Linked DNA regions of Mus musculus. The protein of the gene in region 2 purifies or fractionates together with the protein of the main gene of each other region. This does not show direct contact. Links are inferred from orthologs where the notes say so. Each region holds a gene or a part of one and is shown on either strand. Other genes may lie near its edges.

Evidence for each region.
Region 1: the proteins of Smarcd1 (region 2) and Bicra purify together in Homo sapiens (affinity purification with mass spectrometry; 5 studies listed by BioGRID and IntAct, counting the BioPlex papers as one, with this or other methods). This does not show direct contact. The link is inferred for Mus musculus from reciprocal best matches to the Homo sapiens genes SMARCD1 and BICRA.

The regions. Positions count from the first base shown.
Region 1 is NC_000073.6:15,970,762-15,974,788, reverse strand, and holds the end of Bicra (BRD4-interacting chromatin-remodeling complex-associated protein), read left to right. Parts: intron 1-1,899; coding exon 1,900-3,011; 3' UTR 3,012-3,527; downstream 3,528-4,027. UniProt on the Homo sapiens protein: Component of SWI/SNF chromatin remodeling subcomplex GBAF that carries out key enzymatic activities, changing chromatin structure by altering DNA-histone contacts within a nucleosome in an ATP-dependent manner.
Region 2 is NC_000081.6:99,699,502-99,707,040, forward strand, and holds the start of Smarcd1 (SWI/SNF-related matrix-associated actin-dependent regulator of chromatin subfamily D member 1), read left to right. Parts: upstream 1-2,785; 5' UTR 2,786-2,820; coding exon 2,821-2,997; exon of another isoform or gene 2,998-3,289; intron 3,290-3,604; coding exon 3,605-3,792; exon of another isoform or gene 3,793-4,001; intron 4,002-4,089; coding exon 4,090-4,132; exon of another isoform or gene 4,133-4,236; coding exon 4,237-4,359; intron 4,360-4,829; coding exon 4,830-4,952; intron 4,953-6,125; coding exon 6,126-6,242; intron 6,243-7,003; exon of another isoform or gene 7,004-7,345; intron 7,346-7,539. UniProt on the Homo sapiens protein: Involved in transcriptional activation and repression of select genes by chromatin remodeling (alteration of DNA-nucleosome topology).

The sequences.
Region 1 (4,027 bases), on a different chromosome or scaffold from region 2:
AGGGCTGAGGCACAAAAAAGGTCTCTGCCACACCTACTCTGTGCCCAGTCTTTTTTTTTTTTTTTTTTTTGGTTTTTCGAGACAGGGTTTCTTTGTTTAGCCCTGGCTGTCCTGGGCTAAACTTTGTAGACCAGGTGCTTCTACCAGTCTTAAGAATGAGCCTTAACCCTTGCAAGCCTTACCCTTGGTTCAAGGAAAGCATGCAGTCACACCCCAGACCCTGGCTTTTTCAAAGACCCCGTAAGCTTTCTACATTCAGCTCCAAGTACCATTATTCTCTTTAAACAACAACGACAACACCGGCAGCATTCATCTTCCCCCTTCCCCAGCCCTGGCCTTCTCGGGTACTCACAGGAATCAGGACACTAGTGTGTAATCTTTCTGAATCCTTCGGGGTATATTCTAGAGCTTTCTGTCATTAGGAAGGTGATGTGTCTTCTGAGTATACCTAGTGACTCTACACAGGACCCTGTGTTCATGCGCAAGAATTTCTGTAACAAGTCTGATAGGCAACATGGGAATGAGTCAAACAACCTACCAGGGGTTATACGCATGCCTTACAGGGAGCACAAGCCTAGCACATCAGAAAACAAGGACGTAACCTGGGAATACTTGTTTTTGAGGCGCTAGTGTTTAAACTCAAGATAGGCTATGGCTGTATTGTGGAGCCACGCCCCCAGCCCCTCACTGGAGGATTCTAGGCAGAGGCTCTACCACTGAGCCACGCCCCCAGCCCCTCACTGGAGGATTCTAGGCAAGGGTCTACCACTGAGCCACACTCTAATACTGTTTTGTTTTAGACTTCATTTTTCTAAAACCAGGATCTCACTAAGTGCCAGGCCGGCTTCTGTACTGCAGATCCTCCCTGTCTGTCTTCTGAGAAGCCAGGATGGCAGATGTAGACCACTACACCCGGCTTGGGACTGCACTTTTTTAAAATAAAATATTTATTTATTGTATTTATGAGTACACTGTAGCTGTCTTCAGACGCACCAGAAGAGGGCATCAGATCCCATTACAGATGGTTGTGAGCCACCTGGGAATTGAACTCTGGATGTTGAAAAAGCAGTCAGTGCTTAGAGGTTAAGAGCATCTCTCTAGCCCCATAAGGACGTACTTTTTGTTTTAACTTTTTTTTTTTTTTAGATTTATTTTACTTATTTTATGTTTCTGAGTACACTGTAGCTATACTGATGGTTGTGAGCCATCATGTGGTTGCTGGGAATAAAGGTTGCTCGCTTTGTTTGACCCCACTCACTCTGGTCCTAGACACTCTGGCCTAAAGATGTATTTATTATTATATGTAAGTACACTGTAGCTGTCTTCAGATGCACCAGAAGAGGGCGTCAGATCTCATTACAGGTGGTTGTGAGCTACCCTGTGTTTGCTGGGATTTGAACTCGGGCTTTTCAGAAGATCAGTCAGTGCTCTTTTAACCGCTGAGCACTCTCTCCAGCCCTGTTTTAAATTCTTATTGTTCATTTCACACACATGTAACCTTGGTTGAGCCGTGAAGCTTTAGGGGGTGGTTCGGGGGCTGTTCGTAAAGGGAGCCTGCAGAGTGAGTGGCCCGAGAATCAGCTCAGTCCAGACCTTCCTAATGCAGCCACCCTTTAATACAGTTCCTGACACCCAACCATAAAATTATTTTCATTGCTAGCTACTTCATAGCTGTAACTTTGCTACTGTTATGTATTGTAATGTAAATGCCTGATATGCATGATATTTGATGTACAACCCCTATGAAAGGGTTGTTCAAACCCCACAGGAATTGCCAGTCACAGGTTGAGAACCACTGGTCTAGACTCAGTCTGGACCAGAAGATAAGATGGTCAGTGTACAAGTACCTCCGTCATCTTAGATAACGACCCCATGGTTTCTTTTGTCCCAACTCTACAGATGAGTACGTGTCTTCCTCCCGCTCCCTTGGCTTCCCTGTCCCAGTGTCTTCCGAGGGCCACCGGCTCCCCAGCCATGGCCAGTCGTCTTCATCCTCCACATCTGGAACGTCTGCCCAGCCCCCTCCTCATCTGCCCACCAAGCTAGTGATCCGGCACGGTGGGGCCGGCGGCTCTCCCTCAGTGACCTGGGCCCGGGCATCCTCCTCCTTGTCATCCACTTCCTCATCCTCCTCCTCATCCTCTGCTGCCTCATCCCTGGACGCAGATGAGGACGGCCCCATGCCCACCCGTAACCGGCCACCCATCAAGACCTATGAGGCCCGGAGCCGCATTGGTCTCAAACTCAAGATCAAACAAGAGGCGGGGCTCAGCAAGGTGGTGCACAACACTGCACTGGATCCTGTGCATCAGCCCTTGCCGGCTCCAACCCCAGCGAAAGGGGCGGAGCCTCCGCCACACCCAGCTCCGCCCCCACTCCCTCCTGCTACCCAGGCGCAGATGAATGGCACTCTGGACCATCCCCCACCCGCAGTACGCAAACCCACGGTGCCTGCGTCCTGCCCACGTCTACCACTACGCAAGACCTACCGAGAAAACATGGGCAATCCTGGTGCCGCCGAGGGTGCACAGGGACGGCCGCGGGGTGCGGGCAGCCCCACCCCACTGCCCACCAAGGTAGACGAAGCCACCAGTGGGCTGATCCGGGAGCTGGCAGCGGTGGAGGATGAACTATATCAGCGGGTTCTGAAGGGCGGCCCACCACCCCCGGAGACTCCAGCCTCCGCTACCAGCCAGGGCCCCACTGAACCCAGTTGGGAAGCACCCGTGCTACCCCCAGCCAAACGACGCAAGTCTGAGTCCCCGGACGTGGACCAGGCCAGCTTCTCTAGTGACAGCCCGCAGGATGATACACTTACTGAGCATTTGCAGAGTGCCATCGACAGCATCCTTAACCTGCAGCAGGCCCCCGGCCGGACACCCGCAGGCCCATACCCCCATACGGGGCCCACGCCTGGCACCCCCACATCCCCAGCGCCCCTGCACAGGCCTGACGCCTTCCCACCCTCTAGTCACAATGGTGGCCTCGGTGCCAGGACGTTGAACAGATAACACCGGGCTGCTTCTGCAGCCCTCATAGAGTGCCCCCAACCCCACTTCCAGGAGAGCAGCCTGACCGCCGACCTCCACCTCTAAGGGGCACTAACCCAGTTCCCCTGACAATTCTTGCCTAAGTTATTTTGAGTCACAAAGGCCTCCCCACCTTCCTGCTTCCACGTTGGCTAGAGATTTGGAATGGGGCGTGGGTTTTCTAGGGGAAGGTGGGCTATAAGGTACAACGTCCCCCTGGCACAAGCCAGGACAGGGGATACATGAGTGTTGCCTAGGACTGGGCTTCTAGGTTGATGCACTGGTAACATCTGAAAACAAGGTCTTGTCTGATTGGCTTCGTGGATCACTGTCCGGGGCACTCAGAGCCGGGAGAGATCTTCTGAAAGGCTCAACTCTCATCCTGTTGCCCACAGAGCCTGAAAGATTAGGAAGCAAGGACTCAAGCCAGTGTCCCAAAGTACCTACATCCCATCCATACGTGCACTCACCGGAGTCATCCTGTGTATGTGTGCGTGCACGAGAGAGAGAGAGAGAGAGAGAGAGAGAGAGAGAGAGAGAGAGAGAGAGAGAGAGGTACCTGCATCCCATCCATACGTGCACTCACCGGAGTCATCCTGTGTATGTGTGCGTGCACGAGAGAGAGAGAGAGAGAGAGAGAGAGAGAGAGAGAGGACCTGCATCCCATCCATACGTGCATTCACCTGAGTCATCCTGTGTGTGTGTGTGTGTGCGCGCGCGCGTGCATGAGAGAGAGAGAGAGGGGGGTACCTGCATCCCATCCATACGTGCATTCACCTGAGTCATCCTGTGTGTGTGTGTGCGCGCGCGCGCGCGCGTGCATGAGAGAGAGAGAGCGCCCCCCCCCCCATCCCTCCAGAGGAACAAGACACGGGGTCGTCCTTCCTTCTCCCAAGCAGTCTTCCCTGTATTCTTCTTGCCTCCAGCCCACCACGCCACGTTTTGAAATTTCGGAGACAAAACTAGTACTGTAAGATAAAGATTTTTTTTGTACTGTA
Region 2 (7,539 bases):
AGTCACCAAAGCCCCCTCCTAGTGAGGGGTGGAGGGGATCTCTAGGGTCTGAAATTTGGCCCCAAACCAGAGAATGTACCTTAAGGGAGAGGGCTGGTGTGGGGGCTTCCCTAGCCTTAAGAGATGCTCTCAGCCGGGTGACTCCCCACGAGCCCAAGTCTCCAGGTAAGGACTCCGTGCCCAGTTACTGCTCCCTCAAGCATACGGAATCTTTACGGGGCAGAGGATTTCCTGAAGAAGTAGAGATTGGGACTCCATGTGGCCCTGGTGCTGTAGGCCACATCCCAATATCTGTAAGTCACCTCCACCCCAAAGCTGCTGGAGAGAGATCCCAAGAGGCAACCCTCTGTGACATCCCCCAGAAGACCTGGCTGGTTAGCGCCCGGCTCAGGGAGAGGGGCACGGCCGCCTGACCTCACTGGCTTCTCTCTCAGAGGCCTTTGCAGAAGGCCACATCCATAAATTTTCTTATGGAACAATCCCAAGTCCTCTTCCCCGACGTCATCCGCTTCTCTCGGCAACCTCATCTGCATTTTCTATTTCTATATGATACAGACTCTATATTACTATAACCTTGTATATACTCCCCTCCGGCCCTGTTTGTCTCCCCCTCCATTCCCTCTTGTCTCCAAGAACCGCCCTCCCGCCCCTAGTTCTCCCTTCTGTCTCTCCCCCATTCTCCTGTCTCTGAATGCCTTTGCCCGTATAAAGAGCTGGATTCTCCCCTGGTGTCTGTACTGTACTGTGTACACACATCCCTCTGAGAAGCACAAGGAGATGACACGCGCATTGTAACCTTCGCACTGTCTCGGTGGCGACATAAAGGAAGCTGTGAATTACAAGCTCTGCCTCTTTCTGGCCTCGCCCTTTGCCCCCACGACCGGGGCACCCTCTGCCCTCCCCACAGCCTTAACATACCCTCTACCTTGCTCCACCTATCCCAGTGCCCTTTGCCTGGCTGACTGTGGCCTCCCTGAGGGAAGTGACTGCTGGAGAGGTAGCTCCTACCCAGGAATGGAGGACACTAAGCGGAGAGAGTTACAGACGGGAGGTGGGGAGGGAGGCTGGGGATTGGTGACTCCCTCTTGCAGCTGGGCGGTGGGTACCCACAGCCAGAAGCCGGAGCCCTGACTCAGTGGCCTTTCTTTCTTCGGGGTGCCCAGGGCCCAGTCCTCACCTTGATGCCCAGGCCCACCGCTTGCATTTTCTGGTGAGTCAGGGCGTGGTCACATGAGGAAAGAGATTGGCCTAGAGCAGAAGTTGAAAGACGTGCTGTTGTGTGTCCCTACCCTAAGGGGGCCACAAGGTGAGGTAGAGGGCCTCCTCAACCAGACACCCTTCCCAGGCCAGCTCTCCAATCTCATTCCTGGCCTTCTCTGTCCCCACTGTCTCTTGGTCTCTAATCCCAAAACAGGACTTATGGGCAGATCACCTGTGTACGTTGGCCTGGAGCCAGAGAGCAAGGCTTTGGCATCTTTGAGACCTCTTGGTTCTCAAGAGTTGTTTAGAGATCAGAACTCCCCAGAAAGAAACAGGGCAAAGCTGAGAAATGTACACTGGCTGGGGGGGCAGCAGGAGGGGCTCTGGGTGACGCATGCCTCTGGTCTAATAAACTGGGTTTCAACCATCTCTTCAGTGTTGGTTTTCTGTTTGTTGTTTGGTTTGTTTTGAGACAGGGTTTCTCTGTGTAGCCCTGGCTGTCCTGGAACGGCTCTGTAGTCCAGGCTGGCCTCGAACTCTCACAGAGATCCTCCTGCCTCCCAAAATGCTGGGATTAAAAGCCTGAGCTGCCATTATCCTGCCCAGTGCTGTTTTTAGTTGCAAACTGTGGGTGTTACCTTTAGAATGGAGCTTGCCTTGAGAGCCACACAACTAGAGTAAGGGAATTTGAGTGGTAGCCCGGTGTGGTGGTTATACCTGTAATTCCAGCAGGTAGGAGATGGAGCAGCTATCTTCCATTACACAGTGAGTTTAACGCTAGATTGGGCTACACCAGACCCTACATACTTGATCAGGTAAACACTGATCCTGCTGGGAAAAGACAGGCTCAGGATTCGTCTGATCACTGGGCAGGGGACCAGCAGTTATCTATGGCAACAAATATCCAGGACTCTTTGGAGAAAAGTCACGGGAAAAAACGCATCAAAATCTTAAGTTAAACGTCTGAGGTGAAGGGTCCCGAGCCTTCTCTGTGTATCCCTGGCTGTCCTGGAACTCACTCTGTAGACCAGGCTGGCCTCGAACTCAGAAATCCGCCTGCCTCTGCCTCCCAAGTGCTGGGATTAAAGGCGTGCGCCACCACGGCCCGGCATGGGTTTTCTCTTGCTGATTTGTCTTTGCCACGACATTGATCTCCTTCGAGTTCTACTTTTCCCGAACGAACAAACAGCACGTTTTCCTCTTTAGTACCCGGAGTCTGAGCAGTAGGAGAACGAAAAGCAAGGCAACCAGAATGCTTTGGAGAGGTAAATGCACTGGGCCAAGGTGAAGCATCACTCCAGCCGCCAGCCGGATGGGCTGGGCTCTCTGCAAGGCTTTTTACCGTCCTCCAACCGCGTGGAGGCGCTCGCTCCCGGCACCTCTTTATCCGCACACCGCTTCTCTATGGTGCTCCCTCCTGGCCCGTGAAGGCGGGAGGGAGTGGTCAGCACGCCTTTCCCGCTAGTCGCCCCCTCTAGCCCGTAGTCTCGCTGCTCCGAGCCGCCTGTGCCCGCCGGCGGGCCGGGCCCACAAACAGCCCAGGCGCTCGGGGGGCGCGCGGGGGGCGGGGGGAGTTCCGGTTCCGGTTCTTTGTGCAGCTGCAGCGGCGGCTCCGGGAAGATGGCGGCCCGGGCGGGTTTCCAGTCTGTGGCTCCGAGCGGCGGCGCGGGAGCCTCAGGAGGAGCGGGCGTGGCGGCTGCTCTGGGCCCGGGCGGAACTCCCGGGCCTCCCGTGCGAATGGGCCCGGCGCCGGGTCAAGGGCTGTACCGCTCTCCGATGCCCGGGGCGGCCTATCCGGTGAGTGGGACAGGAGGAGGGGCGCGCGGGCCGGGGGCGGGGCCGAGCGAGGGCGGAGGACTGACAGGGGTGAGGGAGAAGTGGGAGGGACTCCCTGGGGAGGGGCTCGGGCCGGGAGTGGAGGTGTGTGGGGGGGGAGGAGGTTAGCATCCTTACCTGCTCCTGGCGGCATTGTTTCCATGTGAGGAGTGAGTGTGGAACCAGGGTGGGCGAAGTGGGCCCTGGGATGGTCATGGAATGCAGAGGGGAGTGGGCAGCCCCCGTGTCCCCAGGAATACCCAGGCTGTTATAGCTGCAAATGGAGGTCAGCTTTAGAGGAGACAGTAGCTAGTAAAAAAAGAAATGTAGGGCTGACTAGACATGTCTGGTGAGTCAGATCCAGCATAGACCAGAAAAATTGAGTATAATCTAGTTTTTAGACTATATGCAATGAAATCACTGAAGGTCCAGTGACTGTATTTCAAAGAAGCAAAGGACTGTCTTGTTGTCCCCCCACCCCACCCCCAGCCCTAACCCACTCCTGAAATCCAGGCTGCCACCATTTTTCCTTTCTTGGTGGGGCTAGCAAGGAAAAGTATGACATTTCTGGGTCCTCTCCCTTCTGTAGAGACCAGGTATGCTGCCAGGTAGCCGAATGACACCTCAGGGACCTTCCATGGGACCTCCTGGCTATGGGGGGAACCCTTCAGTCCGACCTGGTCTGGCCCAGTCAGGGATGGACCAGTCCCGCAAGAGACCTGCACCTCAACAGATCCAGCAGGTCCAGCAGCAGGCGGTCCAAAATCGAAATCACAAGTAAGATGACCCCTGGGGGTGAAGGAAAGAAGGGTATGGGGGAGAGGAGGCCTGTGAGGATGCTGGTGGTGGGCATGCAGAACCAGGAAGTCAGCGCTGTGGCACCAAACGGTGCTGCAGGGACTAACAGGGCCTCATGATGCAGTGGAGTTTTGGTGGTCATGGGAGAGGTAGCGTCTTTAAATGGAGAGTCATTTCGTAGGCCTTGGCTGTAACCATAAACAAAGGTGCTCACAACACTGCTCACGTTCTGACTAGTTCCTATCCCAACCTGATCACAGTATTTATTCTGAACAGTGCAAAGAAAAAGAAGATGGCTGACAAAATCCTACCTCAAAGGGTGAGTGCAGCTGCAGAGGTCTCCTTGAAGGGGTAGTGGCTTTGAGAATAGAAGTGGTCAGAACGAGGGCTGCCCCATCCCATCTCTGTCTTTCTGTTCCTAAGATTCGGGAACTGGTCCCAGAATCACAGGCCTACATGGATCTCCTGGCTTTTGAAAGGAAACTGGACCAGACTATTATGAGGAAGCGGCTAGATATCCAGGAGGCCTTGAAACGTCCCATCAAGGTAACAGGACAGTACCAGGCTGAGGGTCAAGGGAGGGGCCCAGGTCTCTCTCCAGCTCAGGATGGAAAAATCAAAGGCACAGCACAGCTCTCTGTGGCATTTAAATTGCATCTTTCCCTTCCGCCTACAAACCAGGAATTACATTAGGAGCATAGGAGTCTAACAGCTGGCAGGGAAAGGGGCGGGGGTGGGGGGTTGGGGGGGAGCTATCCAGGGCTCTAGACAGAAATAGACCCGTGCGCGCTTTTTGCTGTAACCACTTGCTACCTTGGGAACATGCCACTTTGCACAATTTTGTCTCCCTAGTCCCCTGGTGCATTCACTTGCACCCAGGCTCAGGTCGGGACTGTACACTTCCGAGTGGAGTCTCTGTCCCCTGTAGTGAGCCAGCCAGTGAGGAGTCACTTGGGAGTTTTAGGGGACCTTTACTACCGAAGCTCCACTGTCGATCCTGTTTCTGCCTTCCTCAGCAAAAACGGAAGCTGCGAATTTTCATTTCTAACACGTTCAATCCGGCTAAGTCGGACGCGGAGGATGGGGAAGGGACGGTGGCTTCCTGGGAGCTCCGGGTAGAAGGCCGGCTCCTGGAGGACGTGAGTTCAAGGTCCACTGTGGTTGGTGCTCAGGGAGGGAGCTGCAGGGGTGGCACTGTGCCGGGTGCTTGGTGCGGTGTGCTCAGCAGGAAACCTGACTGCAGTTCACCACTCCTGCTGGGAGCTTCCGGGAGGGGGCTGGGGGGCTGTGTTCCCTGCATACAAAGACAATGGTCCTTTGTGTCTGCTTCCTCAGCTGCACGGTTTTGTCCTGGGGTCTGGGTTGCTGTTGACTTGGCCCTGGTGATGCTGCCCTTTGGATTTAGCAGTATCAGTGGATGATCTCAGTGGTCCCCATCCCTGCCCGCCACCCATCTGTGCTGAGCCTTTGAGGCCATGTTTCCTCCCTTGAATCCTTGAGGTTATTTCTGTGTTCCCAACTTTCCTTGGAGGTACCACAGTTTAAGTGTGAGAGTCCCCCAAAGGCTTGGCTCTCTGTTGCTCCAAGGGGATCATCAGACTAATGAGCACCCCCAAACTCTCCACCCAGCAGCTCATGCTCACCCAGTGCTGCGCTCTGGCACTATATTTAGCTGTGCAAGTGAGCTCGTTCGAGTGCACTTTTGCTGGAGAACCAGAGCCTCCTGTGGGTAGTCCGGGCTGTTTGCTGGTCATGTGTTCTGTCCAGATAAAGGCAGATTTTGTTCCACTGCCTTTTGCCTGTGATTCATTTGCCCTCTGCTGCCAGGCTCTTCTCTGTTCCAGTGTGCTTTGTTGTGTTAATGGTCGGGCTTAACTTGCCTCCCTTCTCAGTCGGAAGTCGGAGACCCTGCCATTGTTAGTGCACTGCTGTGGCCAGGACTGACTTAGTGGCTGCCTAGCCATAACCAGAAGATATTTCCCCAGTGGAGTTAGAAATTGCTTCTTTTTTTTTTTTTTTTTTTTTTTTAGATTTATTTATTTATTTATTTATTTATTTATTATATGTAAGTACACTGTAGCTGTCTTCAGACAGCTACAGAAGAGGGCGTCAGATCTCATTATGGGTGGTTGTGAGCCACCATGTGGTTGCTGGGATTTGAACTTCGGACCTTCGGAAGAGCAGTCGGGTGCTCTTACCCACTGAGCCATCTCACCAGCCCTAGAAATTGCTTCTTAAGGAACTCCATCCTGGGGACTTCTTTCTGGCCTTGTGTAACAACACACTCCACCCACTCCCCATCTCTTTTCTAGGCGGCCTTGTCCAAATATGACGCCACCAAGCAAAAGAGAAAGTTCTCTTCCTTTTTTAAGTCCTTGGTGATCGAACTGGACAAAGACCTCTATGGCCCAGACAACCATCTGGTAGAAGTGAGTAGTTCTGCCTTCCAGGCCTTAACATTTTCAGGGGATGATTAGCCCAGGTTCACACATTGGCCTCTAGGCGGCGCTAGCTGTGCTGAGTTGGGCCCCAGGAGCTCTTGGTAACTGATTTGACTCACTTGTTGCTGTCCAGACTGCTGCCCCCAAAGAGATCTTGGTAGAGTGGAGTCCTTACACTTTCAACTGTCTCTGCGTCTTCCTTTAAGTATTGGTGGGCTGTAGTAACTGACGTGTTTTATTTTCTTGATAGCAGTTTCTGTAGCTAATGGGTGACTCGTAGACTAATAGAGCACTAGCTTGTCTGGGTTACTGATCTGTACCTTCCTCTTGGCCCCTGATCCTTTAGATTTATCCTTCAGACAGCCAGGAACACTTAACGCCTGGTTGTACAATGCTTCAAAGACTGTTAGCTGTTAGCAACAGGGTTGTGGGGACATAAACTAGAGTGGCCTAGTGCTCTCTGGGGACTTAACCTGCCCCTTTCTTTACCACCGTAGCTGCAGCCCCTTATCTCCAGCCACTAAGAGACATGGGAAGTAAGTCACAGAGTTGGTAGAAATCTGTAAAGTGCTTGATTTGATAGCATAGCAGTAGTGTAGAGTAGCTAGACCTGTGGCCTAGAGTCAGCTCAAGTTCTAGCTCTGTAACGTACTGAATGTAGTGTGTCGTAGACTCATAGACAGCTTAGCCCTCAGTAAATTGAAGCTTAGGTTTCTTTTTTTTTTTTTTTTTTTTTTTTTTTTTTTTTAATATCCAAAACGTGTTTATTGGGAAGGTTCCCACTCATCTTCAATCAGGGGCTTTCAGTGCTGCTTCCTCCTGAAGGAGCATCCTTCTGTCAGCCTTGCTTTTCCACCTGTAGGCTGACAGAGGACAGTGGAGCAGCCAACACACAAGACTACCGTTTGTGCATGGCTAAAGACCGTGGTGATTTTATAGCATCCTGGGCATTTCACGTCCATAAAGTAGGAATTGGGGCTCTGCACCAGGCGCTTTTTTTTGTGTTTCCTCTTCTCCTCTTCTGGAGCGGGATGAAGGAGATCCTTTGCGAGAGGCATGTTCTCGTAGGGAGGTCGTCACCGCCGGAAAGGCGAAGCTTAGGTTTCTGTTCCATGTATAAAAGTCATTTTGTGGGTGAAATTATCACTGGGAATTTAAGCCTTTTTTTTTTTTTTCTTTTTCTTTTTTTTTTCCGAGACAGGGTTTCTCTGTGTATCCCTGGCTGTCCTGGCACTCACTCTGTAGACCAGGCTGGCCTGGAACTCAGAAATCCACCTGCCTCTGC